2 linked regions of the Medicago truncatula genome follow. Each later gene encodes a partner of the first gene's protein in a complex. Links are inferred from orthologs where the notes say so. Each region holds a gene or a part of one and is shown on either strand. Other genes may lie near its edges.

Region 1 (16,915 bases):
TTGAACCATTTAAATAGCAATTAAAACAAGAAAACTTACTTACTTGCAAATCCGCGAGGAATAAGTTGAGATTATGGAACCGTGAGAGATTATGGAGTTTCGTGACTGAGATAAGTTTCTTAGGGCATTTTCCCCAAAGGTGAGAGAGAAGAAACGGTATGAGTGGAGAGTAAATATGATGGATGAATTTGATGTTGATGAATCAATTTTTTCCCAAATTACAAATGGATTGAAGGAAGTAATGGTTGGGTTGAAAAATTGAAAGAAAAGGTAGAAGAAGAAAGCGGTTATTTGATATTGGAGAAGAAAGCAGTTATGCAGAAGAAGAAAATAATCTGGAATTTTTTATTTTTTTTTAGTTAATTAATGGGTCAATCTGCTAATAACAAAAGTATACCAGGTCAATATATCAAATCCATCTCCTAGTCCATTTTTTATTGTGGATTACAGTTGTCCATGTTATAGTGATGCCACCTCAAGATGGGTAATTTACCCACCTCTTTCCCAAAGCAAGTTAGAAAAAACCTTATTTAACACATTCCATCGAGATTTGAGTGTAAACCCCTCATTACATATTGCATGTGATGGTTCTTCACATAAAATTTATTTTCATTAAAAAAAACTTTCATTTTAAAGGACAAGACTTATGTGCATTTCTTAAATGCTTTTTTTTATGGTTCTTCACATAAAATTAATTTTTTGTTATTGTCACGAAAAATGTATTGAGTTATGAACCATACGAAAAACACACAAGTTTGCTATAGTCACAAAAAATGTATTTCGAGCTAAGAATATACGAAAAACACAAAAAGAAATTTACATAAGTTTTATCCTTAATTCTAACCATTTGTTTGTTTCTCAGTCTTCTCCTTCATTAAATTTCATTTTAAATTATATTTAATTTAGCACAACTTTTGTCAAATTTAATAGATAGTTTATTCATTTTTAAACAATAAATTGATAGATAAATTTTAAATAATAATTTGATAAAATTACATATTTTAATCAATTTATAAATTTAGAAGGCAATGATTTTGTTTTCATGCATGCGCTCATCATTTTCATTCTAAACACACACTCGTGATAATTTTTTTTATCTTATTTTAGAGGTATTTTTCAACTTAAATAGTTAGAATTTATTTATTTTATATTTGAGATAGATGTGATGGTTTATTTAATAAATTACTGGTTATAATATGAGTAATTTATTTTTCTTTTAAGATTTATTAGTTATATGAACTTTTAATAAATAATATACATATAACACAAACATTAATATTTATATTTATATATATATATATATGGGGTTTGCTAGAAGTAGCCTAGAACACACCCACTAATTTTTATGTGGAAGTGTTTTAGCAAAGCTACACCTTAAGGTGTATTTAACCACTTTTTAGTTATTCACTTGCTAAAATACTCCTTCTAAAAACTAAGTGGGTGTATCCTAGCAAATGCCTATAGGATTTGCTAGAACACACCCACTTATTTTTGTTAGAAGGTGTGTTATAGCAACATACACCTTAAGGTGTATTTATTAACTTTTTAGTTATAACTTGCTAAAACACTCCCACATAAAAACTAGTGGGTGTGTTCTAGCAAATCCATATATATATATATATATATATATATATATATATATATATATGTGTGTGTGTGTGTGAATTTTGCTAATTTACACTCACCTTAAAAACTTGAAGGTGTAAGAAGCAAGTATGCACCTTTTCATCCTTCATTTTTGGAATTGAGTACCCGGAGTCGTGTACATTGACTCAAGATTTTGATCACGCTTGGCTGGTTACAACAGTCCCTTAACCATATTTGCATCAATCAATTCTCATCTCCTATTATACAATGGTAAAATGAGCCGAGAACACTTGACTAATTTCTTGTGTAACATCAACTGCGGTCTTCGTAGTGGTATATTGAATGTTTTGGGTTAGAACTAGGAAACTATACCATGTCTGTTTTTTCAGGACGTAGAATATTTCATGTGGCTAGAACTAGTGAATGATCGAATTGAAATTTATATACCAAGTATTAAAAACAATGCTGTCATGCCACCTCAATAAAGAAACACCATTTTAATTTATATACTTGATAGATAATTAATTAATCATAGAGTGGTGCATGACATAATTTCACATGGAAATCAACCATTAAAAACGTTTGGTTTTCTTTTTCTAATATTTTTTTTTGTGATCAAACTTGAAAATTTTATTCACCTGAAGTCATTGTAATTCATCAAAGTGATATAATAACATCCTAATTAAAGTGAAAAACCAAGCCAGAAAAATCATTCTCCATGGTTGAACACCCAGAACTAGGGCTTGTAATTGTAATGGCAAGAAGCGTAGGTTCAAATTTGTATTCCTATTTTATTTGCTTTACTAGCCATTGCAACGGTTCTAGTTTTTGAGAAGTCTCAATTTGATGAGATCGTGAAGTTTAATCTTGTTGGCATTCAACTTTAAAAGAAAGTCAGATTGACTGCTGCTTGGAGAAAGTGGAAATGCATGGAAGAGAGAAACGTATGGAAGACAGCGAGAAACTGAGGGAAAAGATCAAAATGCAAGATGTCTGTGATGCATAATAATACTTGCGGCCTTCTAATACTCTGACCGTTCACTTGCTCACGTACGGTTCACGATATCAGACGCTCGTGCAACGTAGAAGTTGCCATTGTTTCATTCTATCCATTAAAACATAACATTAAAAAAAAAAAAACTGATAAAGGAACTAGAAAAGAACACAATAAGACATGACTATAAAGGAACCAATACCCCTTAAGGAATAAGATCTATTTATAACAAGTGAAAAATCAACATCTTGGCCTCTAAGAGCAAGAGCTACACACGAGTTTGCTTTCAGATGAATGTGATTAACCTGAATAATCCAACCTAAGAGGTGGATAAAATAAAGAACCTCCTGACATAGACATTGAAGATGAAGGATAGCAGTAAACCGATTGTGAATCATATTAACAACACGAGTTGAGTTCGAATGCTTCTTCTCTTCAGGCGGTGAAGCTGCGTGTTCAGGCAGCCACCTCTATGAGTGGTAATCTCTCCGTTGGTAAATGTGTTACTTCGGATACCACTGTTCTTGATTCGTTCTTTATCAGTCCCCATAACCGCCATTTTAGAGATATTATTACGGTCACTTGGAAGGCTCCTTCAGCTCCTTGGTTCAAAGTTAACATGGATGGCTCGGTGGTTGGGTCCTTAGGCGCCTGTGGTGGTTTGTTTCGTGACCATTCGGGCGCTTTCCTTGGAGCATTCGCTGCTAATATTGGAAACTCCTCTGTTTTTATGGCTATATTCTAGCTATGGAATATGCAGCCAGTAACGGTTGGAGAAACATCTGGTTAGAAAATGATTCCACCAGTGCTTTAGCGGTTTTTAAGATCAGGTCTCTTGTTCTAGTGCTCCTCAGAAACCGTTTGCATAATGCTTGCAATCAGGGAATTCAGGTCATTTGTTCTCACATTTTCAGGGAAGGTAACTGTTGCGCCGACTTGCTAGCTAATATGGGTCACTCTCTTCATGATTCAGTGTGGTACTCGGTGTTGCCGCATGCTTTGCTTCCGCATTTCTTTAGGGACCGCCATGCCTTGCCTAACATCCGGTTTCCTTAGATGGTGTTGGTTTTTCTTCATATTTTATTTTCCTTTTTTTTGCTGTGCTTTCTTTGAGGGTTTTGGCCTAGACCCCGTCTTGTACATCTTTTTTCCCTTTTTTAATAATATTTTTGAGCTGGCCGGCATAGGATGGGAGTTCTGCGGGGTGCCAACCTAGTTGGGTGTCGCTGCTTCCCCTTGATGTCGTTCTACGCTCCTGGTTTAGCAAAAAAAAATAAAAAATGAGTTAGATGCATAATTCAAGTAAGACATCTCATGTTCCAAGATACACCAAAAACCTTTTCACAAATTGACAGTGATGATCTCCAATAAGGCCACCCCAAGCTGAGTGACAATGGATGTAGGATCCATATGTGTTAATTTTATGTATGTAACACAAACAACATTGTGAAAATACAGTGTTTCTATATGTGTGTGTCTATATATATATATTTATATTTGTATTTGTGTGTGTGTGAATTTTGCTAATTTACACTCACCTAAAAACTCGAAGGGATATGCAGCAAATATGCACCTTTTCATTTGAACAAAAATCATTCATCTTTATTGCTAAAAACTAATAATGAGGGCTAGTTTTGTAACTTTATTAAAAGAATATTTGTTAATTTACACCAACTTTACTTATGAACTTTTTATGTTTCAAAGAGACAATGACAAACATGAAACAACTCAAATAAGGATGATTTAGGTTGTCTTCTAACTTTAAGAGTTCATCTCCATCATGTTTAGGGGTAACGCATAAAAACTTATTCACCAGAACCATAACCTCACCCAATCCATTAATTAAAAAAAGAAAAAGGTTTGGTTACCCTTAAATACGACGTGGTCACTCATAAACAATTACTCTCACAAAATAGAGACTCATAAACGCAACTTTAAACGGTTCGTCTTTTTGCATGGACAAGACGGAGAGACTCATAAACGCATTTGTAAAAACGCAACTCCGAACAATTCGTCTATGTGCTTGGACAAGTCTAACAAATTTCCACGTTGAGGGTGGCAAATTGAGTTGTTAATAAGGATCAAGTTTCGATCGTAGTAATATAAGGTAAAGATGTTGCTTATTTGCTTGCTTATCTTGAAAATATTGATTCTTAAAAATAAGGATCAGGTTTCGATCGTAGTTACCCGGATACCTCGACTCAAGGAATTGTATCTTGAAAATATTGATTTAACTTTTTTTAATTCAAAACAAAAACTTAAAAATATTGTTGTGTTACTATCCGAATCTTTTTTCATTAAGTGAACCAATTGTTTCATATACAATTTAATTCCAATTTTTTTGCTAAAAATAATAATTCCAATTTAATTCGGTCCATTTCTATTTTTGCCCGTGTGGTTGAACCATTTAAAGCGTGAGTTATACGACTTAAATCCACAAATTTACAGGTTGACATGTTAACCTGCCTAACTTTTATTTTATACTCCCTCCGGTCCTATATATAAGAAACAATTTATTTTTTTGATTCATTAAATAGTTGATGTATTTGGTCTATTTCTAAATTAGGTACATCAATTATTGAATGAATCTAAAAAGTTAACTTTTTCTTATAAATAGGACCGGAGGTAGTATAATTGATATTAACATAAGTGCACGATTTTTATGTTGTAGTAAAGTATAGACCCTACATATGCTTGTGAATATCAAGGTAGCCTTTTTATTCTCCTAAGTGTGCAAATAAATAAAGTATTTTTTGTATTTCATAAAGGATGCAAGATGATTGGAAAATGATTTGATGTTTGTTTTAAAAATATGTAATGATGGAAAGTGTATCAAAATCATCGGAGTTCATTGTTGTAAGGAACAATCCAAATCTTATTCCTTCCTTTTACCTCGAAAATGCATGTCTGAGGATAAGATATTCACTACTGTTTTCTATCTCTAGTAAGAAAGAATTGCCTCATTAACAAGATTACTTATTCCCATTGCTAACCTTATTGATAATGACCACTAAGCTCGAATACCCATTAGTACATCCCAAAAAAGTCTTTGGCTATTATCATGTTTTGTTTAACCTTATATTCCAACGACTTACCTTCATTTTCCATTTATCGGTAGGTTGCCGAAAATTTTAGTGAATTAAGATCTTTCAATATTCACATTATCAATTTCAACTCTTGTTCCTTCATTGATAACATCGATAAATGATTGTTAGATCTTGTTGTGCTTAAGTCAATCTAACTTGGCTAACCAAGTTCTAACAACCACACTATAATTCTATTTAAAAAGCAAGATCTCTCCACAAAGAAGATTTAGATATTTAGCAAGCAAGATCTTTCCATAAACAAGATTTAGCCTATAAACTACGTCCATCTGATTCATACAACGATATGGTAGTTCGGAAAGTGGCATTCTCATAGAATGCGTTGATTTCCCACAATGGCTCACGTTGTTTGAAGGAAGAGATGCTAAGATCTCATGACTTGGAAAACATGAAAAGAAATCGACAAAATTATCCTGATTCTAAGTAAGGTTGATTGAAATGGTAAGATATTTCTTTCAGTTTAACAACCGATCTTTGATTCGATTTTAATACTTAAAATGTAGTAGTCTTCAATCACTTTTAGAGAGAGTTTTGTACCCGATTTGAGATATAAATATATGTAGCTGTGCGCAGATTTGACACTTGGTTCATAAAAAAAAGTCACGCTAACTGTATCCATGTAACACTTATTAAGAAAAAAAAAGAGTAAATTTTGTATCTTTCCTAAACAATATTAGTAGTCACGATATTGTCATGATGTTGTGGTGTTTGTGGCGACGATGCAACAACAAAGTGTGGGTGGGTGAACTTAATCCTATTACCGAGGTCGTCCAGCTTGCATGAGATGCTCTTATTCAATGGCAGTCAGTTCGCGTTATGAAAAATATGTAATGATGGAAAGTGCATCCGAATCATCGAAGTTCATTGTTATAATAAAAAACAATCCAAATCTTATTAAGTGTAATGTTGACAAAGCTTTTTTTGCTGATCAACGGTGCTTCGGTATTAGTATGTGAATTGGAATTCTCGAGGCCATTTTATTAAAGCTTTAACGAAATGGTAGGATGGTTTCCTCCCCGATAAAAGCAGAGGCATTAGACTGTGTGGTGCCATCTTTTAGCTTGATCAATTGGGACTATCAAATATGCAAATTGAGCTAGATTGTAAGTAAGTGGTAGACATCATTGCTGATAGACTAATAATCAATCTGAATTTGTTAATAGGGTTAATGGTGTTTTACCCCCCTGTAATATAAGTCATTTTTGGTTTTCCCTCCTGTAAAATATTTTTTTTGGTTTACCCCCTGTAAATTTTATTTTTTTTTGGAATACCCCCTAATAGGTCATAAAAAAACGAAAAAATTATGCAAAAAAAAAATAAAGTCGTTTTTTTATGACCTATTAGGGAGGTATTCCAATTTTTTTTTTTTTACAGGGGTGTAATATTACAAGGGGATAAAACACCATTAACCCTTGTTAATATTACGTTTTGATGTAGATCACTATTACGATATTTTCCAAATGTTAAGACAAGTTTTATTAAAAAAAAAACAAGTAAATTGTATTGCCCAAGTGTAAAGAAGGTGTCAAAATTGTATACCTGTCACCATATCTTTAATTTGAGTCTATCATATATTAAATTTAGGAAAATGTTAACCAATGTTCTTAAATATTAGTTAAGAATATAAAATTAAAAAGATTGTGAAAAAGTGAATATTCAACTTTTTGAAAATAAAAAAAAAGTTGTTGTTTCCAATAAAAAAATTCTATAATTAACTTCCTTAATTAGTGTCATAAGGTCACTGGTTAATAAGACTCTTACATTTATTATGTCGTCGATAGTTTAACTAATGTGCCAAAATTATAGTATGAGTTAATTTTTTGGTATGAGTTATTGTGGGTAAAAGAAAAAAAGCAAAACAATATGAATAATCATGGAAGGAGTGGTGGTCAAAGGCAGAGTCACGTATTGTTCCTATCCTGACCTGTCTCAATTTGAATTAAAAATTAAAAATAATGTTACTTGACTGTCTAAACTAGATAATGATATTATTTCTATCTTCAATATAATAGATTGACACGCCATCTCCATCTCCACATCACAGTGAGAGTGAGCGTTATCAGTGACTCGATATCAATAATTATGTATGTACTCAGCTCAAACAAATACAAGCATAACCTAACAAAGGGCCCTATTTCCAGATTGATTGGTCTTGTGCCTTTAAATTAATTTTGTATCTAAAACAATTTGTACCTTTCAATTTTACGGTCAAATTCAGGTTAATTATATAATTCCTATCCCAAATATTCCCGAATCAGTTTAAGTGAACATCTGAGTCATTAAGCTCAGTTTAGTGAAAGTGCCAAAGTGACAAAAGAATTATTATATTAATATAATATAATTAATTAAACTAATATAAGACCTAAGGTTTATTTTCATTTTTACTCCACCCAACTCACTTAAATATTAAGGATTATGTAAGTGGGACGTGACTCCCTTAAAATAAAAAATGTCATTAAAAAACTCAGAGTTGATACATGTAATCAATGAGGTGTAAGATATAAAAAGCAACCAATAATTATCATCTTTTAGAATAACAAATATTTTTTAGCATAATTGCTTTATCAAAATCAATAATCATGAATAGTTTATTACATACAAGTAGCATGATGAAATCAATTCTATGTGCTGCGCAAAACACTCTCCGGCTCATATTAGTGTAGCACACCCTTGTGGCCCATAGTAAAAACCGGATAAGAATGTGTTTCCATAATGAAATTACAAATTTGGATAAGTATACCGAATAGTATGGAGCACGTAACCATTCACGTTGACCACTGTAGTAAAATCAAACACAACATGTTACATCATCATAACCGTACACGCTTCCTTAATATAACCAAAATATGAAAATCAAAGGTGAATAATTCAGGTGTAGTGTAGGACACTAGTTTCAAATGTTTTAGTAGATTTTAGATCCCATTTTTCAGTTTATTATTATGGAACAATGTGTTGGGAGTAGTAAAGAGAAAAAGACAAAAACATAGAGATCTTATAATATTGTCATCATCATCAATTCATCATGCAGTTACACAGAGAGAGAAAAGAAGAGGGAGTAATGGCAATGGCTACAATGAGAGAGATGCCAAGGAGCCCTGAAGCCAAACTTGGGATGAGAGTTGAAGATCTATGGGATGTTCAAGAGGCACAATTAAGTCCTAATGACAAACTTAATGCTTGTTTTGAAAGCATACCTGTTTCTGCTTTTCCTTTGCCTGCTAAAAACCAAGGTAGTTTAGTGTCTATGTATGTATGTGTCTGATTTTGATTGAATAAAAGAAAAAGTGATTTTGATCACACCCAGATGAAAATTTATGTGCATGTTTGGTATCACGATAGTATATCAGAATCATGGTGGTTCACCGTGATTCTGACAAACCAACCAACTATGGTACCAAACATGCATGTGTGACCAATTGATGTGTTATTGTGTGTGTGTGTTATAATTTTTTTGTGGTGTGTTTTTATTGGGTTTGTTCTAAAAGTGTGAATTTTATGTTTGCTTGTATAGAAATTGAAATAAAATCAGATGCTACCTTGGCTGAAGCTGTGAAAATACTAGCACGTCACAATATTCTGAGTGCACCTGTTGTGGATGTTGATGCACCTGAAGATGCTACTTGGATTGATAGATACATCGGAATAGTTGAGTTTGCTGGAATTGTTGTATGGATTTTGCATCAGGTTAGATACATATGTCACTTGTCAATTCAATTATTTCACTTTCAGAATAAAAATGAGGAAAAGATCAAAAGACATATGAATCTAAAATTTACAATCAATTTTTGTACTTATATTTACAGTGTTTTCATATCTAAAAATGATATGATACCTGTTCTATTTAAGTGATTTTCTTAGATGCTTCAATTTCACACTAAGCTAATGTGATAATGTTGTTGACAGTCTGAGCCTCCATCCCCCAGGAGTCCATCCACTCCAACTAGCGCAAGTGCTATTGCAGCCGCAGCAAACGGAAATACTTTTGCCCGAGAACTCGAAGCCTTAGGCCTCGGATCTGCAGCGACAACTTCTGGAAACTTTTTTGAGGATCTTACTTCTTCTGAACTTTATAAGAACACGAAGGTTGTTTTGCGATGTCTAAATTTCTTTCAAGTGATTCTTCTTCCAGCTACTAATGAGTTTGTATTTAGTTATTTAAGTAGCTAACTTTTTCGCAAACAGGTTCAAGATATTTCAGGAACATTTCGATGGGCTCCGTTTCTTGCTTTGGAGAGATCAAACTCATTTCTAACCATGCTCTTGTTGCTTTCTAAGTACAAAATGAAGAGTGTTCCTGTGGTAGACTTGGGTTCTGGTACAATTGATAACATCATCACACAACCCGCCGTGATTCATATGTTGGCAGAATGTGCCGGACTTCAATGGTTCGAAAGTTGGGGAACCAAGGAACTATCTGATGTTGGTCTTCCCCTTGTGACACCAAAACAGATCATCAAGGTGTGTACTATATCATATAAGCTCTCATTGCATTGAACCTTGTCAAGTATGAATTCTGCATAACTCTAGTGCATACAGAGTAAAATGCTATCTTGCATTTCTTAAATGTGTGTGCATATATGGAAAATGCTTCAAAATAGTTATTTCATTTCCCCTTTCAAGTAAAGTAAACTTGTCGATCTTGATGAACTTGACAATGGATCGTTTCATTCTTTTCAGGTTTATGAGGATGAACCAGTCCTTCAAGCATTTAAAGAGATGAGGAAAAAGAGGGTTGGAGGGGTGCCTGTAATCAAAAGAGGTGGCACCACGGCAGTTGGTAATATAAGCTTGCGAGATGTTCAATTCTTGCTAACTGCTCCAGAAATCTATCATGATTATAGGTATGTCAGAGGTTTTAAATTGTGATTCGCAGTTGCGCCACAGTCCTTGATATTGCTGAGAAATGTTGTCAAATATGGCTGATGCGACCTCAATCACGGTCAGAGACATCAAAAACCTTGTGTCACGACCTGAACTGTGGACGCGGACCTTTTATTAAAACTGTGTTTAGACCGCATTGCTGATATCTTCTATCTTTCTTTCTTTAGTTGTTCTATCTGTTTCATTACTACATACTCATTGGATGTTCACATTTTGACAGAACTATTACAGTGAAGGACTTCCTGACCTCCGTTAGAAGCTACTTAGAGAAGAATAAAAACGCATTCCCAATGTCAAGTGAATTCATTACATGCAAAAGGGACTGTACAGTGAAAGAGTTGATTCAATTGCTTGACAAAGAGCAAATTCACAGGGTCTATGTTGTGGATGATGATGGGAACCTTGAAGGACTAATCACACTAAGAGATATCATCTCAAGGCTAGTACATGAACCCCACGGCTATTTTGGTGATTTCTTTGATGGTGTTCTCCCTCTACCTGCTAACAGCAGGGTTTAACAGACAAGGCATCAAGAAAGAATAACTTGCTCTTGCAGAGATTTTTTGTTTTTGTTTTTGTTTTTGAAATAATTCTTCAGAGGAAAAGTAAAAAATATGTATTTATCTTCAGGTTGAAGATGTGTACCTAGGTCTTTGTAATGTGTAGGCAGTTTGCAAGTTACTTGCACCTGTTTTAACTAATTTTAGAATGGGACTTTTATGTACTGTAAATTCTGGTGTAACCGTAAGTTCTGTCAAATTTTGGGTTGTTTTCGTTGTCTTCGATTCGTGTTTCTGTTCACCTTATTATGACTAGAGCGACACGTGTCTATCCACATTTTTCTTTTGTATTTTGTTTTTTTATGTATTATAAAATATGTTTACTTCAGTTTAATAAATTTATGTGTTTTTCACTTTAAAATATTCAACATAGTTAATTTTCAGATTTTCTATAATTTTGACATACTATTAAGATTTAAATTTGCAGAGAATTTAATTTATTAAGGTAATTTTGTCCAGCAAAATTCCGACCAAAAGTTACTCCCTCCGGTCCTATTTATAAGAGAATTTTAGGTCAACAAAAGTTGATGTATCTAGTTAAAAATTCAGTCCAAATACATTCACTTTTGTTGACCTAAATTTCTCTTATATATAGGACCGGAGGTAGTATTAGTTAACTTTCGAGTTCCTTTTATATACTACTAACGGAAAATGCTCACAAGTAATGGTATAAATTTTGAAATAGTACCTGGTGCATGAAAAGGCTTAAGTTGAATGGTAGTCTTTGTTGGTGGCTATGGAAACAGACAAAAGATAATATCCCAAGTCCCAACACGACAAAAAAGAGACCCATTATTCTCGGGGGTCGGCTTGGAACGTATCCCAATTGGAACTTGTGTTTTGCACTTGTTAGTTTGACGTAGGAAGTTGACAAAAACAAAGAAAATGAAAAGGTTGAAAACAAAGGGAAAATATAGGAAAACTACACTAGCGTACGGCGTACTCACATTGAAAACCAGTTACTTAGCGTGCTTAGCCAAAAGTGAAGTTTCATCACATGCTCAAATAAAGCAACTCTTCCAGTTTAGGCTGGCCAAGCCTAAAGTGTAAAGATGTTCAAGAGACAATTAGCATTTCTGTTTTGGTCATTTATGGACAGTGTAAGTGCAAAGTAATACCTGAATCAAAATATCTGTTGCCAGCAAACATGATAAGAATTTCAATAATTAAAAATCGAGTCAAATCGAAATGGAAGACTTTCATTCCAATTCACTAATGTTGTATGAACAATACCCAAAAATCATATAAATAATAACAAATAACATTTACAATTGATATAGTTTCAGCATGTGTCTGTCTGATCACCGATCATGGTTTCTCAACACATACATATGACAAAAGAGTATGGAGTATGCTTGTTAGAGAGCTGAATTCGAGGGACCAAAATAAACGCAAATCATCATAAGTTTGTTCGTCTTGCAGAATTATTGCATGGTAAGCCACAGCAAATTAGCATATCCACATAGCTGGAACTACTAATTACAAAACAACAAAAGGCACACGAACTATTGCAGCAAAAGACGCACAGAAGTGGCATCTAACAAAGGGGATGGTAGATGCTAGAAGATTGCAAGATCAGAAAACGTATAAACAATAACATCTTTTTTGCATGGGCACACAGCTTCCGACAATCAATATGACGAATAATTCGAATGCCATAATAACTGTTGATCTATTTCAATGATTCTTGGACAATCAACATCATTTTGACTAACATCTAAGCCTTTTCAAATGAGCAAATTTTAATGTTTTGAGTGGATCCAGTTTCTGGTACACCTATGTCTTATTTCCTCACTTCAATTATTATCATCTAAACATAAGATATACACAGACAACATGGTATCTGTCGGGTCAGGTAAGAAAAGCACAAGTTCATTCATATAGAAAAGTGAAAATAATGCAAATTGCAGATATGTAATTTACATGAGAATCGGATCATAGTTCAAGGCAGCAGCTATTAGTGTGACTGTATGAGAGAACTATTTCAACAAGTATAATGATTGCCGATAACAGCATAAATAAGTTGTGCAAGACACTGGACTTAAGAATATATACAAAGATATTACAGTATTCGCAGGCGCAAAATCCAATTCTAACATTAAGACCCTGTAAAATAAACAGCTATCCAGGTACAAGATAGATATGCATGACACAAACTTTTTCAACTAATCCTGATAAAATGAGTTCACCTGTCAAAACTCAAAAGCATATTATCTTATAATTATTCTATGTACTCTTTCTCCTTATGTGATGTAATACAGCAGGGGATCCTTCAAATAAATCTAATAAATAAGTCTCTAGATCCTCTGGTACATACTTAATGTATTTGCCTGCATGTCTTCCCTCCAGCTGACCGCTAAATCTCCCCATAAACGAGCGGTATGCAGGTATCACCTTCTCTGATATATTTATCCGCATCTCTTCACGAAGCTGGTCATCAGGTACCTTCCAAGCTGTCTGAACCCTGTATATTTCTTCAAAACACGCGTTGAAATTCTTAAACCTTTCCTTCAAAGCCATCCTTGATGCATTATTAGAGCTCCCTCCAACCCCTTCATCCCTCAAACAAGCCAAGGCCTTGCTCCAACAGGCTCTAAGGTACCCCGTAGCATACTGCCGTACCTGACCGCGGCGCTTACGAACCCAATTATCCCCCAAAACCTCTATAAGATCTGAGTCCTTCACTTTACGCACCAGGTAATGTAGATTGTTCATCAAAAACACCTGCTGCAATGCATGGTCTTCATAAAGTTTTGATTTTTCCTCAAGATTGTGCTCAAGTTCAGACATCAACAACAATATCTGTCGTCCAAGAGGGGACAAAGCTTCTAACTGGGACTCATCACCACCCAAATCATTTTTAAAGTGGTAAAGAGCCTCTTCACTGATTTCCAAAAGCGAATCCATAGCATTGCTATAATCCGCAAGCAGTTTCAGGTAATTCATAACATAACGAGGCAAAGGATGAACATCCCCAGTTATAACCGGCCTTCTGGAAGTCTCATTCCGAATACAACTCTCAAATTCAGCAAACGTCCCTTTCACAGCCTCCCCAAGTCCTCTAAGCACACCCTTCGCCTCAGTAATCACAAACTCATCCGTAACCATATCCTCCAATTCAGGCAAAGCATCTCTCAGAACTTCATACATATCCAAAATCCTAAACAGCTTCTCCGGCGACCTCTTACAAATGGCAACAGCTTCACCAAAATTCAACAACATCATAACACAACCTTTAGCTGTTTCATTGAAACACATCTCCTTCACATCCTCCAATTCACCGAAAAGACTATCACATAGCCTCTTCTCTCCACTCAACAAAACCCTAACAACAACCTTAGCAGCTTGCACCCAATTCTTCATCCTCTCATCCAAACTCTTCCACTCAAACTTCTGCACCTCTTCAATACTCAATTTCTCAACTCCCAGAATCGCCAAACACTCAACCAACGCGTCACGACGAACACTACTATAAACCTGCAAACACTCCCTCTCATAACCAGACCTAACCATCCGATCAATAATATCTTTCAAATTCAAAATTGATTCCGGACGAACTAAATCAACAAACAAATCATCACCAAGACTAACACCACGTTCATGAAACCTATGAGAACCAGGATCACCCGCATCACCAAAACTCCCAGAATTATCATCAAACCCACCCGCACCATCGTGCGAACTGAAAGACAACGAACTCCTCCGATTAGTACTACACCGGCTAACAGCATCAGGCGGAACAGTATTACAAATCAGCACATGTCGAAGCTCGTCCTCGAGCCTCGACATAGCAACTTGGATCGCGTTATCAGCACGATCCAATATAATCTTACCGGTTTTTACAGCGGAATTAATCGGCGGCGAGATCGTGAAGTGTTCCATCCATTGAATAATCTCATCAACAGCGTTGAAATAGACTTCAGGATCATTCGGAGGATCGAAAAGCGAAGTGGATTGACGAGAAGACTCGGTGGATAAGGAAGAATCGTCAAGTATGACTTTCTCCGCAGCTTCGAATCGGTCAAGGTCTTCGTCGTCGTCGTCGTCGTCGTCGGATTTGGAAGATTTGGAATCGTCGCCGTTGATAAGGTCGGTGATACCGGAGAGACGGTTGTCGAAGGTGGAGAAGATTAAGAGCATGTCTTCACGATCTTCTTTGGGAGCTTTTAGGCTTTTGAGGATCTGTTGTGCTGTTGCGAGAACTCGATCGTCTCCACCGGCACCGGTGGCTCCGCCGCCGCCGCCGTGGTTGGTGGTGGCGGCCATGGGAAGAATCGAATTAGGGTTTTGTATTGGATTTTGGGTCATAGAAGAAGAAGAAGAAGAATTGTGTGTGATGAATGAATGTGTAAGAAATGAAAATAGAATAGAATGGAAGAAATGTTTGTGAGAATTATTCTCGGATATGTCAGAATTTTTTTATTTATAATTTTAATTTATATATTTTTTTGTAGGAGATGATTGGGGTGGTTAGGTGTTGTTTGGAAATGGGATGAAAGAAAAAAACTTTAGGAAGAGAAAGAAGCTGTTGTGTTGTGTTGTGTTGTTTTGTGTTGGCTTGGCCGGCTACCTTGCTTGGAATTTGAAGCCTATCTTACAACTAAATCAGTTTTACCTCTAAAAAAGTAAAATCTGTTTTAAAAAATTATTTTATTTATAATTAATTAATTTTTGTTATTGTAGAAGCATCTAGACAAAAAAACAATTCTAGTCACAATTTCAAATAAATTTTTAAATGAAAAATAAATTAATCAAATCATCTAGATGAATTCTAGGATGAGGATTCAATTAAGTCCCTCACCGATGGATCACTTATAATAACAAATAAGAACTATTAGATTAATCAAACATATACATCATATTATACATTGTATACACTAGATCACACATCTTTTTCAATACCCTCCTCCTCTCCTTTCTCTGCTACCAAACGTCCATGTCCACCAATGTTGCCCTTGCATTTAACATTTTTTGGGGTGCTTAATTGGTTATGATGGCAGCCATGGAGAAGATGAATCAAGGTATTTCCCAAATGAAAGATCTTAAAATATCGTTTGGACCAATGCAAAGAAATAACTTCTTGGTTCATCGACACACCTTTATTTTTCCATTCAATTTTGTTTAAGAAAAAAAAAATAGAATTGAAAAAGATGTTGCAATGAAATGAAATCAAAAGAAAAGAGAATAATTGCTTGCTGCTCACTTTATTTTATTTCTAATTCACTGAAATCATTAAAAGAAATTATGTATGTATATGTTTTCCATTGTTGCCACATGCCAAGGCATCAAGGACACGAACACAAAGTTCAATTTACGAAGGTTCAATTTCATTTTCAAGCCGGAACAATATCTTCTCTGTATGCTTAACTTACGCGACAGCTGCATATGAAGTATCCAGATCTCCTATGAGTATTGTGGAAGATATGGGGGGCATGATTGTGTGTAGCAATCTTTCAAAGTTCTATTTTTATTTTTAAAAAATCCGAACCTTTCATCAAATCTGATGATGAATAAAAAGTGATCCATCGGTGAGGGACTTAATTGGACCCTCACCCTAGAATCCACCAATCATCTAATATCATTTTTTAAAACTTTTTTTTTTTGAAGGATCATGTTTTTTAAACTTCTTTTGGTGGAATTTCCTTTTTAAATTTTACCAGTTATATGTATGTATTCAAATTAAATTTATTTGGAAATTATCCTATTTCAGAGTCGCTCTTAGATGATGTGCGTTTTGGTTTGTCATTTGGATAGTAAGACAAAGTTACCTTACGAGTCACGCGCCGGAA
Region 2 (17,433 bases), on another chromosome or scaffold:
ACATTTTACAATACATTACTAAGTCTTCTGTCCTTCCATTTGCGGCTAGTATTAATCTCAAAACATACAGCTTTTTACTAATGAAACTTCTTATAAGGTTATTATTTTTTTCTGTAAGAAAAGTCAATCAAATCTGAAATTTAATCGTTGCTACTGCGGGAGATTGTTACTTTGAAAACGTCTCCGAATTTGATTTTTAGATGTTGAGCTTAGTCCATAGGTACCAACATTTGAGATTGCATATTTATCTTCGAACACGTTGAAGATTTTCTCAAGTCATATTTACCGAATCCATTGTCAATGCTGTATTTCACTTCGGACTATCTTGCCTTACTTACACGAGATGTTGAAAATATGATTAACTTCCCAAACAACTGAAATTAAGTAGGTCTGATAAGCATTTTTAAACTGAAGGGTTGGAATAGAGTTAATCTTATTTACTATGAGGAATAGTTGTTTGTGTAAGAATTAAGATTTTCTTTTTAAGTTGAGGTGATTATTTGAGAATGTAGTTCTTGAAAAGGTGAATAATTTGGAAAGCAACTGAAAGTAAGTAGGCCTTGCTAGCATTTTTAAACTGCAGGAATGTAATAGACTTAACATAGTTACTATGATTTATTTTGTCATGTATCTTTAATTCTTTTTAGACTAGAGTTCACCGGCATTATAAGGATTCATGTAATTGGTTTTATTTTATTCAATACAAATGATTTTGATGATGTTTGAGACAAATTTCATGACAGAAAGTGACTCCTATATCATGTTGGATTTAGTAAAGTCCCACATCCAACACAATAGAACAAAACATTATGTTTATATTTGTCTCAAATGTCATTTGTAAATGGGAGAAGAGTGTAAGGAAGATAGATTAGATAGATTGGCTCTTAAGCTTCTCAATCTATCTTCCAACGCCATTCTTTTTAAGACCAGAAATGCGAATCTCGCTCTCCTCTGTGGCGTTCTTCTCTATGTCTTTATGCTATTTATTATAAACAGCCGATGTGGGACTCAGAAAACATGGTTCATTATAAAGAGTAACAGCATTCAAATTGCATTGCAGCATACTTCTTGTGAAAGACAATCATCATTATAATGGACCAGATTTTAACCGATTTTCTCATGGCCTTTGGAGCACAAATCATCAGTTGAGGATTGTCATTTGTGGATGGATTAGATAAAAGTAAAATTCCAGAACTTTGCTACTCTTTCAAATAAGCACAGAATTCAGACTGTTGTGCTGCTAAGTTGCAATAAAATATCAGTTTGATGATATATCTTATGCAAGTTCTCTCTATCAGATTTTTTCTACCAACTACTTATTTGTACAACAATCTCAAGCTAGGTGCAAAAGTTGTTGGTGTTTGTGACCTTGTGCCAGAGATGTTTAGGACAACCTCTTCAAGTGATTAAGAAATTACAACTTGAGAAAATGTGAAACAATTGTCTCCCATTCTTCAAAATTGAGCTTAGTCCTCTTCAAAATTGAGAAAAAGTTTTGTTCATTTTAAGATTGTGGATTCAAAATTGACATTCTGTAGTTTATGTGAACCTATTCTTCAATTCCCTCTGCGAGAGTTCAAACAAGTAAATAGGTAGACTCACTTGTATGTTGGGTTATTTTAAAACGTCTCCGAATTTGATTTGCAGTTGAGCTTAGTCCATAATTAGTACCAACACTTGAGATTGTTACTGCATATGCTCAATCATATTGTGTTTGATTCAACTTGAGATTTCCCTCCTTTAACTGCATAAATTTACAAGTATTCAATGTCTAATAATTTTGTCCTGTGATTTTGGTTTGTACTGCATGCATGTTTAGAATTATAGTTGATTACAAGTATTCAATGTCTAATAATTATAGTTGATTTTGTGCACCATCTCTTGAATTTAGTCTCCTAAATGTTTCAAACGAAATATTTTTCCATCTTATCTTTTAGAGCACTTCATTTACGTAATATTTTACGTATTATTTTACTTTTTTTAGCTATGGCATTGGATTGAGAAAGAGGCGTTAGTTTAGTTTCAAGTGTGTGATTAATTGAGTCAGATCAACAAGACTTGAAGCTCAAACTCGCAGATAAGTTCCTTTCAAAGATGATTAACTTCCAAAACAACTGAAATTAAGTAGGTCTTATTAGCATTTTTAAATTGATCTTAGTTACTATGATTCAGTTAAGGAATAGTTAATGTGCTGCGTAGAGAAATTTCTTAAGACAAAGCCTTCCGTAGTTCCTTCCCTTCCCAATCCCGACTAGTTTCTTAAGACGTAGTAAAGTACTTATACGTATAATTGGCTTTTTATTTTGTCATGTATCTTTAATTATTTTTAGCCTAGAATGCACAGACATTATAGAGATTCGTATAATTGGTTTCATTTTATTCAATACAAATGATTTTGGTGATGTTTGAGGCAAATTTCATGACAGAACGTGACTACTATATCATGTTCGATTTAGGAAAGTTCTACATCGAACACCATACAACAAAGTTTATATTTGTTTGAAATGTGAATTACAAATGGAAGGAAAAGTTGGAAGGATATAGATTCACGATCTTACTTCTCAATTTATAATCTTGTAACATAATTTCTTTTTTTATCTCTAAAATGGAAGAGAATTTTATCTCCTCCATATTAACTTGTGTGCACCTTTCAAATTTCATTTTACCTCCTTTTGGATTTTAAAATATTTAGAAAATCACTTCATTTTGGTCCTCTATAATCAAAGATAATTTCTTTTCCCATCCTCTTAACATCCGGCATGCCTTCCAAATTGATCACTTTACATCTGTTTGGATTTTATAATCCAAAATGTATTTGACGTTTTTTTGATTAAAAAGTCCGAACTGTGTTTTCACAGTTATGATCAAATTTAACCCACATTCCAAATTATAAATCACTATGATCAATCTATTCCCTTTATAAATCACTTAATTATGGTTCTCAATAAGGGAAACAAAATTCTTTTCCCACCCAATTAATTTATTAAGCGCCCTCCAAATTGATCATTTTACCTTTATTTGGATTTTATAATCCAAAGAGTATTTGACATTTTTTAGATTATAAAATCTGAACTGTATTTATACAATTTTGATCAAATTCAAATCATATTTCAAATTTTATATTCATCACAACTCACATTTTAATCCTGGTTGATTTAACAATAAATTTTATTTTTATGTGTGTCGAACACAGTTCGAAGTATATAATCCAAAATGTGTCAATTCACCCGAATCATAATTATTAACACAATATGTGCCCGTTTCAAATTATATCATTCGAACCAATACTGAGCAATAGTTCATATTATAAAACCGAAATGTGTCAGGCTGTGGACGATTCAGACGGTTTTTTGTGTGTTTATTGCATTTTTGGTTGATTGGGTCATTTTAAACGTTTATTTTGACTTTTGTTACAGTCTAGGATTGTGTTGTTCCGATTAGCTCTGAAGATTGTCGTGATTTCTGTTGTAAATGAATAGACACAGTTGTCCATGCAGAGTAATATTAGGGAATCTAGTTCTTGAAAAGGTGATTAACTTCCAAAACAACTGAAATTAAGAAGGTTTTGTTAGCACGTTTAAACTGCGGGATTGTAATCGACTTAATCTAAGTTACAATGATGATTATGTTATGAAAATTGGTGTGCTGTGTTGAAAATTTTTCTAAAAAAAAATTAAATAGCAAAAGAAAAATTAGTTTATGATACATTTATATGTTGTTTTTATGGAATTCTACAACCTGAGACATAATTTATACGTTTAGTTAGATGAGAGTATTCATAGCAATGATAATTGGTGATATTATTTGAGCATTTTGTGTTTTGGTGATAAATGATGAAAAAACAAAAATAATGACAGCTGTGGGACCTTTCGGACCAGAGCCTAAATCTGGCGCCGTAGACCACTCGGCCAAACTGTCTTGTTGTGTTCAATTTATAAGACAAATCATGGGACAATAACAAACAATAACATTTTATCACAACAGAACAACTAGCTCACTGTTTAGTAAGAAGAGAATAGACGAAGAGAAAGGATCGAGTTCAATTAGTTCAATTGTACCGTAGCCTCACACACAAACAAGGGAATTTGATGAAATAAAAGAGAACCGAAAACTATAACCACATCATCCATTCTTCCTTGAATCATCTCAGACATCTCAATTCTAAAAGCATGACAGTGAACACACAAAATACATTGACACCTAGAGACGTGGATAACAAACATCTTACCGACTGTTGAGAAAATAAATATATCTTTGATAACGAAAGGGGGGAAAATGCATAAAAATTATAAGGATAAGGAAAAACTCACCAGCTAGAAATTAGAGTTATGAAATCAACAATTTAGTTCGAAAGATAGGAGAGCCTTTGGCGATAAATAAGAAATTGAATATTCTGCAATGTGATCACAGGTTTCACATATAAAAGACCCCATACAAGTGCAGATCTTGAAGTAATTTTATCCCTTTCTCATCACAGTAACGCTGAAAAAGTTCCCTTGTATCTTGCAGTGCCTTCGACTTGAAAAACATACGGTGTGAAGATTAATACTAACAAAGTTTTGTTTACATTAAAAGAGTTAAAAGGTAATATTACTGCAGGAAATTTCGTTCAAAAAGGAAATGGCAGCAAAATACTCAGGAATTCCTGTGGAATAATTTCCGCAGGAAAAACGTGAGTTTCTAGTAGTGTAAATAATTTTTAGATTCATTGGTAACTGTGGGATATCACGAATTCTATACCAACTTGGATTCATTATTCCCACAGAGCTAACTAAATGATATAACTTTGTGTTTGTATACTTCTAACCGAGACTTTGAATTGCTGACTTGAGTAACTTCAGCATATGACCTAAGTATTCTGTTGTACCACTCCAAAGTCTCTACCAACATAGGATGCTGGGCCTAACATTCAACAACTCTATCAAATTCAATTTTTTCCCCTAAAAAAAGAAACAATTTCAAGAAGTCACTATTATCCTTCAACAAGACCAGTGTGCGATTCATTGAGTCAGATCAACAAGACTTGAAGCTCAAACTCACCGATAAGTTCCTTTCAAAGTCACTATTATCCTTCAAAAACTCTAAGCTAATACGCGTCAAGTTTTGGATGAAAGAAGTCATGGAAGTGTCCTTGCAGGTGTGGCAAGAGTCTGTGCAGAGTGATATTAGGGAGTCTAGTTCTTGAAAAGATGATTAACTTCCAAATCAACTGAAATAAAGTAGATCTTAGATGATGTGCTGTGTAGAGAAATTTTCTAGAAAAATTAGTCTATGATACATGATTTTATCGAATTCTTCCACCTTTGAGACATGTTTTTTGTATTTGTTTTCCATATTCATCTTTGCTATGTTCTATAAGCAATAACATCATTCATAGTTAGGGCTCTGAGGAATGCATAGGTCAGAAAGCTTCATGGGAAATGAAAGGTTGCTATCATGTGTTTCACCATATTTCCAAAGTAGTGTTGATATTTTAGGATATGGACTGTGACATGAGCATCACAAATTTATATTCATCTTTGAAATGTTATTTTATTTTATGTTTTGTATTGTTGATTCATGGTATGTGAACTCATCTTTGTTTATCTCTAATAACCTTATAATCAAGAAAACAGAGAAAATGTTTTTTCACTTAGTAGACAGTTGGGAAATCGCGAATCCGTAACTAGCCAACTTGTTCTTTTATTTTTATTTTGTCATGTATCTTATCATTACGTCTATCCATGTCACTATTTCTTTTTATTTTGTCATGTATATTTAATTATTTTTAGATTTGAATACATGGACATTATATGGATTCATATGATTGGTAAATGATTTTTAGTTTGGAAATGATTTTGATGATTTTTTAGATAAATTTTATGACTACTAACATCATGTTGGATTTATTAAAATCCCACATCGGACACAAGACAACATAACACTATATTTATAATTGTTTAAACTGTCTTTATAAGCTTAGGAGAATGTAAGGGCAATAAATTAACTGTTTCTAACATCTCTCGATTTATTGTCTCCAACAATCTCCTTTTCCATTTATTAACTTCTCTGTATCCGACATTTTTTGGATTATAAAATTTGAATAGTCTTTGATCAAATACAACTCACATTTCAAATTATATATTCATCATAACTCACGGTTTTGATTATATATTCCTTTTAAAATCACTTCATTTTGATCCTCTATAAGAAAAAGAGAAAAACGAAAACACCACAACAACAACGGAAGCTAAAGCAAGAACACCAAAACCCCACTGATCAACCCCCCAACGAGAAACCATGGAGGCCAAAAGGAGGGAAAGCTCAACATGGGCGGTCGAGAACTAGAGGCCAACCACACAAGACACTCCCTATTTCCCTTTCTAAGTACTTCACTTATAAAAAATGTAAAGGTCTCATATTGTTTAACACTCTCACTCAAGGAATTACAAGCATAAAACACAAATGTCAACTTTCTATATTTTAGATGCCAATAAAGAAATAAAGGCACCAAGAACAAATATGATCAAATTACTTTTGTTAGTTTTCCATATTCATCTTTGTTATGTTCTATTTGTGGATTGGAGAAACTTTTGTTTTTCATTTATTTACTAGGTCTATGAGGTTGCTAAAGAAGTCTTCATGGGAAATGAAAGGTTGCCATCATGTGTTTCACCATATTTCCAAACTAGTGTTGATATTTTAGGATGTGGTGAGTGACATATTTATATTTATCTTTGAATTGTTATTTTTATTTTCCTTTTTGTATTCTTCATTTACTGATTCATATAATTAGCTTGTTATATTGTCATGTATCTTTATTTGGCCGAACCTTACTAATCAGACAGACCAGAGCATGACCCTAATTATTTTTAGACTAGAATACACGGACATTATAGGGATTCATATATATAATTTGTTTCATTTTATTCAATATACAAATGATTTTGATGACGTTTGAGACAAATTTCATGTCTGAAAGTAACTACTATATATCATGTTCGATTTATTAAAGTCTCACATCGATCACAATACAACATATCATTATATTTATAATTGTCTCATATGTCAATTTTAAGTGTGAGGCATGTGTAAGGGAAATAAATTATCACAATTTATTTCCCTCAACTGTGTCTTCATTTTGGTCTGCGTATACATAGTTTCATTTTATAGACCTCTATATTGGATGAGAATTTCTTTTTCCGACCTATTAACTTCTCGTGCGCCTTCAAAATTGATTATTTTACCACTGTTAGAACAACCTCTTCAAGTGAATAAGAAATAAGAATTTGAGAAAATGTAAAACAATTGTCACCTAAAACTTATGTTAAGTAGTTTATGTGAAATTGTGAACCTATTGTTAAGAACTTGAAAATATTTAATTCCATCACTAACACTATAACATGCTACAGTGTTGCAGTTTTGTTCATTTTAAGATTTTGGATTCAAAATATATGTTCAAAATTGAAATCTTGAAACTGTGGAATGTTGGCACTAATGCATTATATACATGGCTTCTACAAATTTCATTAAACAAATAATTATATGTTGAACGTAATTTGAAAGAAATACAAAATACTTTAAAAGTTGTATTTATCTTTGAATTGTTATTTTGATTTTGTTTTTTGTAGTGTTGATTAACTAGAATGTGAACTCTTCTTTGTTTATTATCTCTAATAACCTTATAATCAAGAAAAAGGAGAAATTGTTTTTTCAATTAGTAGACAGTTGAGAAATCACGAACTGGTAAATAGTCAAATTGTTCCACAGTGAAGGTTCGTAAACGGTCTTTGGCTGGCTATGTATCAATTTGGAAGCAACCTGCAAAGAGTTGGATTTATTAAAGTCTATCAATGTCTCTCCTTTACTATTTCTTTTTATTTTATCATGTATCTTTTATTATTTTTAGAATAGAATACACCAACGTCATAGGGATTCATATAATTGGGACAAATGATTTTTTAGACAAATTTTATGACAAAAGTAACTACGAACATCATGTTGGGTTTATTAAAGTTCCGTATTGGACACAATACAACATAATACTATGTTTATAATCGAGGTGAAATGTCTTATAAATTATGATGAAAGTGGAGGGGATTAAATTGATTGTCTCTAAGATTTCTCAATTTTGATCCAGCCAAGCAACCTTTTATGATTTTTGCTTGAAGTGCGTACGGGGGACAAATTGGGTTTTTGATCGAATTTTAAATTTTAAAGGATATTTATTTTAGGAATTTTTATTAAATTATGTTAAGAATTTTGTATAGATTTTGCTAAGAATTTATTATTAATGATAAAAAGAAAATAGTAGTAATTTTCGAAAATGTGAATGAATTAGGCGTAATGTCTAGGATCAAAATCCAAGGCGTTACAATTTTGATGATGTTTGAGACAAATTTCATGACAGAAAGTAATTACTGCATATCATGTTGGTTTTATTTAAGGCCCACATCGGACACAATACAACAAAACATTATGTTTATATTAGTCTGAAATGTAAATTAGAAATGGAAGAGATAGATGTGTATGGACATAGATTGTCTCTTAAGCGTCTCAATTTATGTCATATATCATCATTCTTCCATTTTAAACGTTTTAAACCTCTAAAGAGAAGAGAAGAACTGTGTTTATGTTCGTGCACTCTTCAAATTGACCATTTTATCTCCTTTTGAGAATAGAAATTATTTTCTTTTTGCACGTCCTTCAAATTGATCATTTTGTTTTTGTTTAGATTTTATAAACCAAAGTGTAATTGAAATTTTTCGGATATTAAAATCTGAACATGTGTTTAGACAGCTTTGATCAAATTCAACTCACATTGTGTTGCGGATATATTGAAAAGTCAAATTATATATTCATCACAACTCGTAATTCAAATTATGCTTCAGCATCGGTTTGGTAAGTACAAAAACAAATATTTTGCATTTGAAGGGAGTAATGTTAATACAATACAATTTTCACTATGGAGTTTTTGCCAAATAATTTATTCTTGCCTTCAAGCTATGGAGTTTGTGGTCCGTGTTCATAATGTTTATATTATGACGAGGATATTGGGATTACTCGAGTACATGTCATAAATAATGGAAAATGATTGGTAGACCACTCATATTTCCATACCACTCATACACCCCCACATATTCTAGAGGAGAGAGATGGATGAAAGAGAAGAGAGACAAAGTGTTTGTGGGGTCTAGGACACGTGTCACATGTTTATGTGGAGGTTTAAGTGTGTATACCACCTATGGATGTACATGTATCACCACTTTAAATAATTAAGGAATTTGTTGTATTGTGGATGATAAGTAAGCAACTATTGAAGATTTCATTTGTCACACCTTATTATGATGCATAATCATTGACATTTCTATATTTTGATAAGAAAAAATAAGGACACACACTCTAATGACTATGACGCAGCACTCAGTTTGAAGAATAGTTGGGGAAATATGCAACGTATTCATGTATTTGATAATGGGAGTTTGACTAGCCAAGATTTAACTAAGGGACTAATTAAGTTCTCTCAATATACTTTTGCTGCAAGGTACATATTGGTTTTTGGGTCTTTGTAATGAGTTTAAGGTGCCACTGTCTCTCAATACCTCGTTGACAATCACAAGGTATTTACTTTATAGTCCCTCCGTTCTTTGTCTCAAAATATAAATAAAAAAGACAAACTTTTATCCTATTTAATCTTATTTTTTTTAAAAAAAACTATTTTTCAAGAAAAACTTTTGTTTATTCTCATAAAATTAAATGCAAATTATATTCAATTTTCTCTCTCTTTCATTTTTTCCATAATCAATAACCAATGAAAATTGTTTTTACATTTTCCTATAAAACTTTTTTCAAAGAAAGCACAAAATTATACTCTAAAAAACTTTTTGCTTATAATTTGGAACGGAGGGAGTATAAGATATGATGATTAAATTGTAACATTTTCTCTTATTTTTTTCAAAATTGAGTTTTTTTTCCAAAGAGAAACTCGGTATCTACTACACCCTAATTACTTTAAAAAAAAGTTGGACCCTTTGGATATTTATTGTTACTGCATGTCCAACTATTGAATGGTTATGGCCCTTGGCAAGTTGCTAATGATGGGCATGCCCCTGCTTGTCCCACTAGACTAGAGTGAAGGTGACCGCAATTGCAATTGGTCTCCTTAATGGAAGGTCGATTCTTTTTTTTCTTTCACTCAACCCTCTAATTCTTGGAAGAAGGTAGTTTGAAAATCTGAGCTGAAACGTAAGTAAAAGTTAATAAAAATTATATTAAATATTATTTTCAATCTTGAAATTATCCTTAACATCCGTCTTCATCCATCTGAACTTGATTCTTGTAATTATAATTTATATGGAATTTTTTTTCCATTGGTCCTACCTTGTATTTAAATTGTAAACAATTTGGTGAGTGGTCAATTTACAATAGGTCTCTCTCTCTCTCTCAATTCAGAACTTTGCTAGTTTTCAATAGTACACACACGTGATAGTAATCGATTTGGAGTTATCTTTAACTTGTTGATTCAATCATTTGAATGCACACCATCTTCGTCCTCAAGTCCTTTTGGGGAACTTTTATTGCTTTAATAAAAAAAAAGTGTTGCTTACAAGTTACAACTACATGATGTATTATTATAATGTTGTAAATTGTGATTTGGTGATTGCATGATATATATCAAGTAAGATTATTTGCGAAATGGTCAATTATTGACATTAATACATCCAGTTCTATTGAGTTTATATCAATCAAGAGACGAGACTCATATTATATTGAGCTCACACAAGAGGATGATATTGATGATCCATTTTAGAATAATGAGAATTCTAATTGATTATCACCTTATATATATATATATATATATATATATATATATATATATATATATATATATATATATATATAAGGTGATAAGAAGAGAGATGCATAAGAAGTATCATTTGAGAAAGAATTCATGCATTTCAAATATCTAATTGAGTAAATTTTTTAATTGAAGTTAAACTAACCTATCTAAATTAACTTCAGGAAGAATCAAACTGTATCAAACCAACTCAAATGAATTTCAAATATCTAATATATTTGATAAATCAACATATTGTATATCACAAGGTAGTTTATAATCATAATCTTTGTATTCAATATGTCTTGTATTGATTAACTAACTATTAAACCATGCTTATATACGGGATAAAGAGCATATTTTATTAGTTACCAAAATGGAAAGAAAAGAAAATGTCAAATTGTCTTTAGACCGGGGGACGAGACTCGTACATTGCATTTTAGTAGTATTCCTTTGTCCGTGAGTGTGAAGCACGTCTTTTTTTACTACTTTTTTAATACAAAGTGTCTTTCGTTTCGCAAACCCTAGTATAAAAATTGATAGTCAAATATAATAAATATTACATTAAAATTTGTGTTGTCAACTCTTTAAAAATATAAAAAGTGTTATTTTCATTTTAAAATTTCATATTTTTAATTTTCTTAACTAGTATCCCGAGAACACCGGTTAACATGACGCATCAAAATTAGGCTTGGCAGCTATTTCTTCATGCGAATCTTGCATTTTGTCAGCTAATCATTTAGAAATAAACTTTTGTTTTCCATTTGTTGATTTCATAATCTGTAACCCACACTCAGAACTACGATGAATAAAAAATGTTACTAAATACTTCAACAATAAACTAATTCTGTTGGTTTACGATGCAAAATGAATATTTGATCAATGTCAATTTGTTTATAATAGATGAATCAAAACAATCAATTTTGTGTGTGTTAACCCTCCAATTTTTAAAGGAATATTGCCTTAATGATAGGTTAGGAGATAAATAAAGTCTCAGCAATCATTTTTCACCTAAAAATCAATTTGGATTTTCCCCAGCGATAATAACCAATTTTTTTTTTTGTGGTGGCTGGAGTTCGAATGATAATAACTAATTTATATTTTTTGTGGTGGCCGAAGTTTGAACCCCTACCTTACAGATATTATGCATAGTCTTTATCAATAGAGCTAAGCTCACGAGGACATAATAACTAAAATTAAATTCAATTATCCATTAAACATAAAAATTGTACTACTCATTCATTATACCATCTTTTCAATGGATGCACATCTATTCAGAACGTATAATTATATCAAAAATAAAAATTTGTATTATTTAAAAGGTACTTTTGTTCGTTATTATTTAAAAAGGACTTTCGTTCATTGTTTAGAAAGTAGAAACTATTTAAATTTTAAATTAATGAAAATTATCTATTAGCTTTAGCTCAGTGGTACTCCCTCCGTTTTAAAATATAAGCAAATTTTACTTTTTAACTTCATTCCATTAATGATGTATGAGGTTTATATTATGAACCACATGAACCACATAGATCATTAATTGAATGAACCTTAAAAATAAATTTTGCTTATATTTTGAAACGGAAGGAGTAGAAATTTGCCTTGCGATATCAAAATACTTAATTTGAATCATCTCATGATTTCTTTGAGTCTTACAAGTATGATGTCCCTTGAACCTCTCATTTGAGACATTATTTCTTTGTTTCATCTTTCTTATCAAAATCCTCCAACCATGTTTTTTTTTCCTCTTTCTTTTCAAGTGAGTTAAGATCCTCTCCATTTAAATTTTTATCTATTTCTACCATTTAGAGAGATATAGACACAAATTCTTAAAAATAATTAATGATAGTCAGACTTATTTAATGATATGACCCACCACCTACTTTATGTGTCTATATCTCTCCAAATTGTAAAAATGGAGAAAAATTTAAATGAAGAGGATCTCAACCCTTTTAAATCACTAGAGCCTTTATTAGGATTCCTCTTCCTCCTTTTAAGTTTTAATACAATAGTTTTTGTTTGTTTTTCACTTTTTCGTCACAGACGAAGTAAGTTATACACACATAATAAGAGGTTCAAATCTACGACACTTCAAAAGAAATTAAATCTAACAATATTGATGTAATTTATAGTGGTTGATCTTACAAATGTTGCTTGTTTTTTATTTACATACAACAAAGTAAAATCATAGTAAGAAATTAGGTTGTAAATACGATGATATGTGTAACTTCCGTGAAAGAAAACCGTGATTTGATTCTTCTTCTTGTTTTTTAATTACAAGGGAGGTTATTAGGCTAAATTACAAACGAATACGTCGATTAAAATAGACATTGGCTATATCCTGTCGTAAAAGGTTAAGATAACTCGGCAATGGAGGTCCAAATAGTAAGTACACGTAGGTATTAAAAAGGCATAACTCGAAAATCAATCAGCTACTTTGGTTTGTCTGCCTAAAAATATAAGAAACGCTAATATGTTAATCCTTCATTATAAGACGATTAATGAGTGAGACAAACATATACTTTGGCAAAGTGGTAAAGAGGTTGTCATCGATAGACCAAGGCATCTGTTTGATCCCTTGTGCGGACATCTTAAATTTTAATTTGGATCAATTAGTTTAATTTCTTCAAAGAAAAAAGAGAGTGACAATAGAAAAGTAAGGATGTGTGTGTCGAGGGACATCCTTTGTTAACCAAAGATATCGTAATAGTTGAGTCAAATTCAAGAGAAAATGTTGCGCGTATCTTTTTTTTTTAGACATACGAAATGACAAAATTATTATAAATTCACACATAAGTGAAGTTTTTAAATTCGAACCCTAATCATAATGTTCCGCTTAATAATTTCGATATTTTTATACCATAAAAAGTGTAAGAAAATAAAAAAAGTTATCTTTTTCTCTTCTCCCTCATATTTTATTTTTAATAATAAAATTTCTGGCTCGAAAGTCCAAAACATCCCAGCGTCAGATCAGACTCAGACACAAAACTTGATAAGAACGAACAACGATAACCGTTTTCTTCTTCTTCTTCTTCTTCTTCTTTGCAACACTTTCACTTCTCAACAAACTCTCTCTCTCTCTCTCTCACAATTCTCGTTGTCGTTTACTCTTCTTCCTTCATCTACATTGCAAGTAAACGACAACAATATGGGAAACGCTAACGGAAGAGAAGACGGAGCTATTCCCGACGCCGGCGATCCTTCCGGTCGTGAACCTCACGCGCCACCTCCTATTCGTGCTTTTTCTTCCGATTCAATGGCAAATAGTCCGCCTCAAAGTCCTCGTCGTTCCAGATCGCCGATCCTCTTCGGTCCTCAGGTTCGCTTTCTATTTCGTTCTTTCATTTTACGCTTTTCTGAATTTTTTGTTATACAATAATGTTAGTTGTTATTTTCGTTCGTTAATCGTTACTGTTGAATTGAATTTCGATTTTGTGTGTTCGTTGATGATGCTGTTCATTTTGTGATTAGTATGTTTGATTAATGTTAATAATCATTTTATGAATTAAATTAAATGCTAATAGGTTAATTTTGTTGAAACTGTGGATTATTATTGAGTTTAAATTGTATGTAGATTATTCTGTTTGTTTAATTGGTCGGATCTGCGGATTCTGTTATTGATTTGGCTGGCTCGCGAGTGCATGGATCGTGTATAGTTGATGAATGTGATTTGGATTGAATTAGGAATTAATGTTATTACCAAGTTTAAACTGTAGGTTATTGCGTGTGTTATATTAAATGGATCCGCAAATTCTGTTATTTATTTATTGATCGATTGGCTCACGCGCGCATTGATTGTGTATGTATATATGAATGTGATTTCAAAAGGAATTAATGTGTGGTTGATTTCCATGTGATTTGTCTGTCCAAAACTTGATTAGATAGGGAATGAGGGGGTGATGAAGTGTAATGTTGCGAATCTAGAAAGTTAATTAATTGCTTTAATCTCTTTGAAGATTTTGAAGAACGGTTATGCTTGACAATCTGTCTGTTAATGTAGTTAGCTTACCATTTTTGCGATTCCTTGCAATAATGCAATCTCATTTTGGTTTAGTGAGAGTCGAAAACAATTTACCAAATTTACTAACGCAGGGTGTTTGTTTATGTGGGCCAAGCATGCACACATTTAAAAGCAGTCCTTACTGATAAGGAAGAAACCGTTGACCATTTGGAGCCTGTTTAACTTGAAAACAAACAGGCAAGAAGCCGTTGACCATTTGGTGCTTATTGAACTTGAAAACAAACAGACACTTAGTCATAACTTCACGGTTCAGACATTAACACACGATTCCATCTTAGTTTGAGTTGGACCACATGATTTTTGTCCTTGTAAAACACGTGGAGCCATGTCTTCACGTTGCAGATGGTTGTTAGTTGTACCAGATAATTGTATATGTAGCGTTACACCATTTGGAAATTCACATTAATTGTTCTAGTCTAACGGACTCAATCTGTTGATTTTGTCTGTTTTGGAAATTGGGAATTGCATTTAATGACGTCCTTGATCAAGTGTGTATCGGGAATTGCATTTAATAACGTCCTTGATCAAGTGTGTAAATTGTGAAATGATCTGTTTGGAGGAATGTCTATGAGATATATGCTTTATGTCCATATGTTGTGTATAGTTGTAATTGAGAAGTACGATTGTCAATTTGGCTTTCAATTCAAGCTTCTGGATTGACTGTTTGCGATTCGATGTGTGGACTTTGGAAAGTCAATAAGATATATATTTTGTAGAAGCCATTTTATGGGTGAAACACTATGGACTTTGTTTTGTATTGAGTTTTGTTGTGACATGTTCCCTTGGCTACTAGCTTACTGTCCTCGAAGTTTCTGAATTGAAAAATAACACATGCAGTATTGGAACGTGAGTTCACAGAACACTGTGCCAATGTTGACCTAGCAATTTTGGATTTCGTAACCAATGCATCATGATGTGCACAAAAAATCTTGTATGCGGTTATATTTTTAAGCTTTTAAGCTTATTTAATATCAAAATTTCTACGCAAGATTATAAGCATGAACACTTGCATTGCATATACATTTATTCTCTCCTGATCTGTGTACACTTTATATTGATCCCGTTGATTTGGAAATTGCTCATTGTCATCTTTCTTCCTGGTCATTGTTTGGAATTTTCTATTTTTTGCGTTGATAAGAGAATTGAGAGAAAATGTTTTGTTTGGCAGTTATCCCCCCATTCTCCTGGGAATCTCTCATGTAGAGTTCATAGATTTCCATTTCCAGTAAATTTTAACAGACCAGGCTCATACTTTATCAACTTTATACGAGTTATCACTGTCCTTCGCTATTTTACTGCCTTCTTTGAATTTTAGATGAATGGATTGTGCACAATTTCATTTAACATGGACAAAATATTTTTTATTTTTTTACCCTTTCATATATAGGAAAGTTTTTCCTTGGTCTGCTGCTGCTAATGCATATTTTTTTAGCTGTCAGCCCAAAAATAATTTCCTAGTCAGTAAAAAAAAACCATCAATATGTGGAAAATGACTGTCTATCTTCAATTGTGGAAATTGTTTTCCAAAACATTTTCAATCTTAAATAAAAGAGTGGTGCTCCTCATACTCATAGCATTTTCTTAATATATTTCATATTCCAACAACTTTGTATTTGGCCCTAATCATGACACATTTAAATTCGTTTAACTCCACATGATTCAATTCAATTGATGTGATCGTTTTTATTGACTATTTGATTCCATATCTGGAAACGTGATAGTTGCCCTCCAAAACAAGTTAGATTTCATGAGATATCTTAGACAATTTTAACTATGCAACATCCGAAACATCGGCAGATCTTAGTTTTGATGAGGATGCCATGGCCACCCAAAAATTTCTTCTTTTCAATAGGTACACATAAATTTTGTAGTATCAACACACACACACACATTATGTGTATTTATTTACCAAACTATGTATGCCAGCGCAATTGTGGAAGAGCGTTTTTGCAGCTTAAGTTTCCTGGGATCGAATCTGGCAGAAACCTTTTTTATATTTCCTTGGCTAAAATGTTGAACGCGAGGTTTGAACTCAGTCCACTTAGCTTTAAATTACAACAAAACTAACCACTACACCAGCCAACTAGTTCTATAAATTTAAAGCAATATTGTTATATATATTCTTTACATACTTGCCCCCCCTCTAAAATACTGATAAAACTCTGCTACTGATCCCAAATGATTGGGGTCAGTTCGCACCATAGCTATGTGTCCTTGTTAACAGCTGTAGTCTAATGAAGCTTCATGGTTATATTTTCATATGACTGTGGGAAAAAATTAGGAATTTCCTAAAATTAAAGACTTGCCAATAATTAAAATCTAAACATAGGATTTCTCTGTACTTTTCAGGTTCCTCTAGCTCCATTACAAAGAGGTAACGGGCCTCCTTTTCTCAATCAAATGTGGCAGAATGAGCCTCATGGTATTGTTAATCAAGCTCCTGAGCAAGGAATCCCTGTTATGATCACTTGGAATTATGGAGGTAACAGTGTGGCTGTGGAGGGATCTTGGGATAACTGGGCATCTAGGTAAGATTTGATAACTCCTTTGTTAGTAATGGTAGCTTGATTGAATTTGACATGAAAAGTTAGCAATCGGT

Evidence for each region.
Region 2: SNF1-related protein kinase regulatory subunit gamma-1 (region 1) and SNF1-related protein kinase regulatory subunit beta-1 share a complex: the UniProt entries of both Arabidopsis thaliana proteins name them as parts of the probable heterotrimeric complex. The link is inferred for Medicago truncatula from reciprocal best matches to the Arabidopsis thaliana genes KING1 and AKINBETA1.

What each region holds. Positions count from the first base shown.
Region 1 is NC_053045.1:50,743,470-50,760,384, reverse strand, and holds SNF1-related protein kinase regulatory subunit gamma-1, read left to right. Parts: upstream 1-8,707; coding exon 8,708-8,915; intron 8,916-9,196; coding exon 9,197-9,369; intron 9,370-9,588; coding exon 9,589-9,768; intron 9,769-9,867; coding exon 9,868-10,143; intron 10,144-10,362; coding exon 10,363-10,526; intron 10,527-10,786; coding exon 10,787-11,084; 3' UTR 11,085-11,416; downstream 11,417-16,915. Other genes in the region: exocyst complex component EXO70B1, read right to left, coding at 13,353-15,434. UniProt on the Arabidopsis thaliana protein: Regulatory subunit of the probable trimeric SNF1-related protein kinase (SnRK) complex, which may play a role in a signal transduction cascade regulating gene expression and carbohydrate metabolism in higher plants.
Region 2 is NC_053046.1:39,454,501-39,471,933, forward strand, and holds the start of SNF1-related protein kinase regulatory subunit beta-1, read left to right. Parts: upstream 1-10,396; 5' UTR 10,397-10,424; intron 10,425-13,758; exon of another isoform or gene 13,759-13,882; 5' UTR 13,883-13,961; coding exon 13,962-14,132; intron 14,133-17,183; coding exon 17,184-17,362; intron 17,363-17,433. UniProt on the Arabidopsis thaliana protein: Regulatory subunit of the probable trimeric SNF1-related protein kinase (SnRK) complex, which may play a role in a signal transduction cascade regulating gene expression and carbohydrate metabolism in higher plants.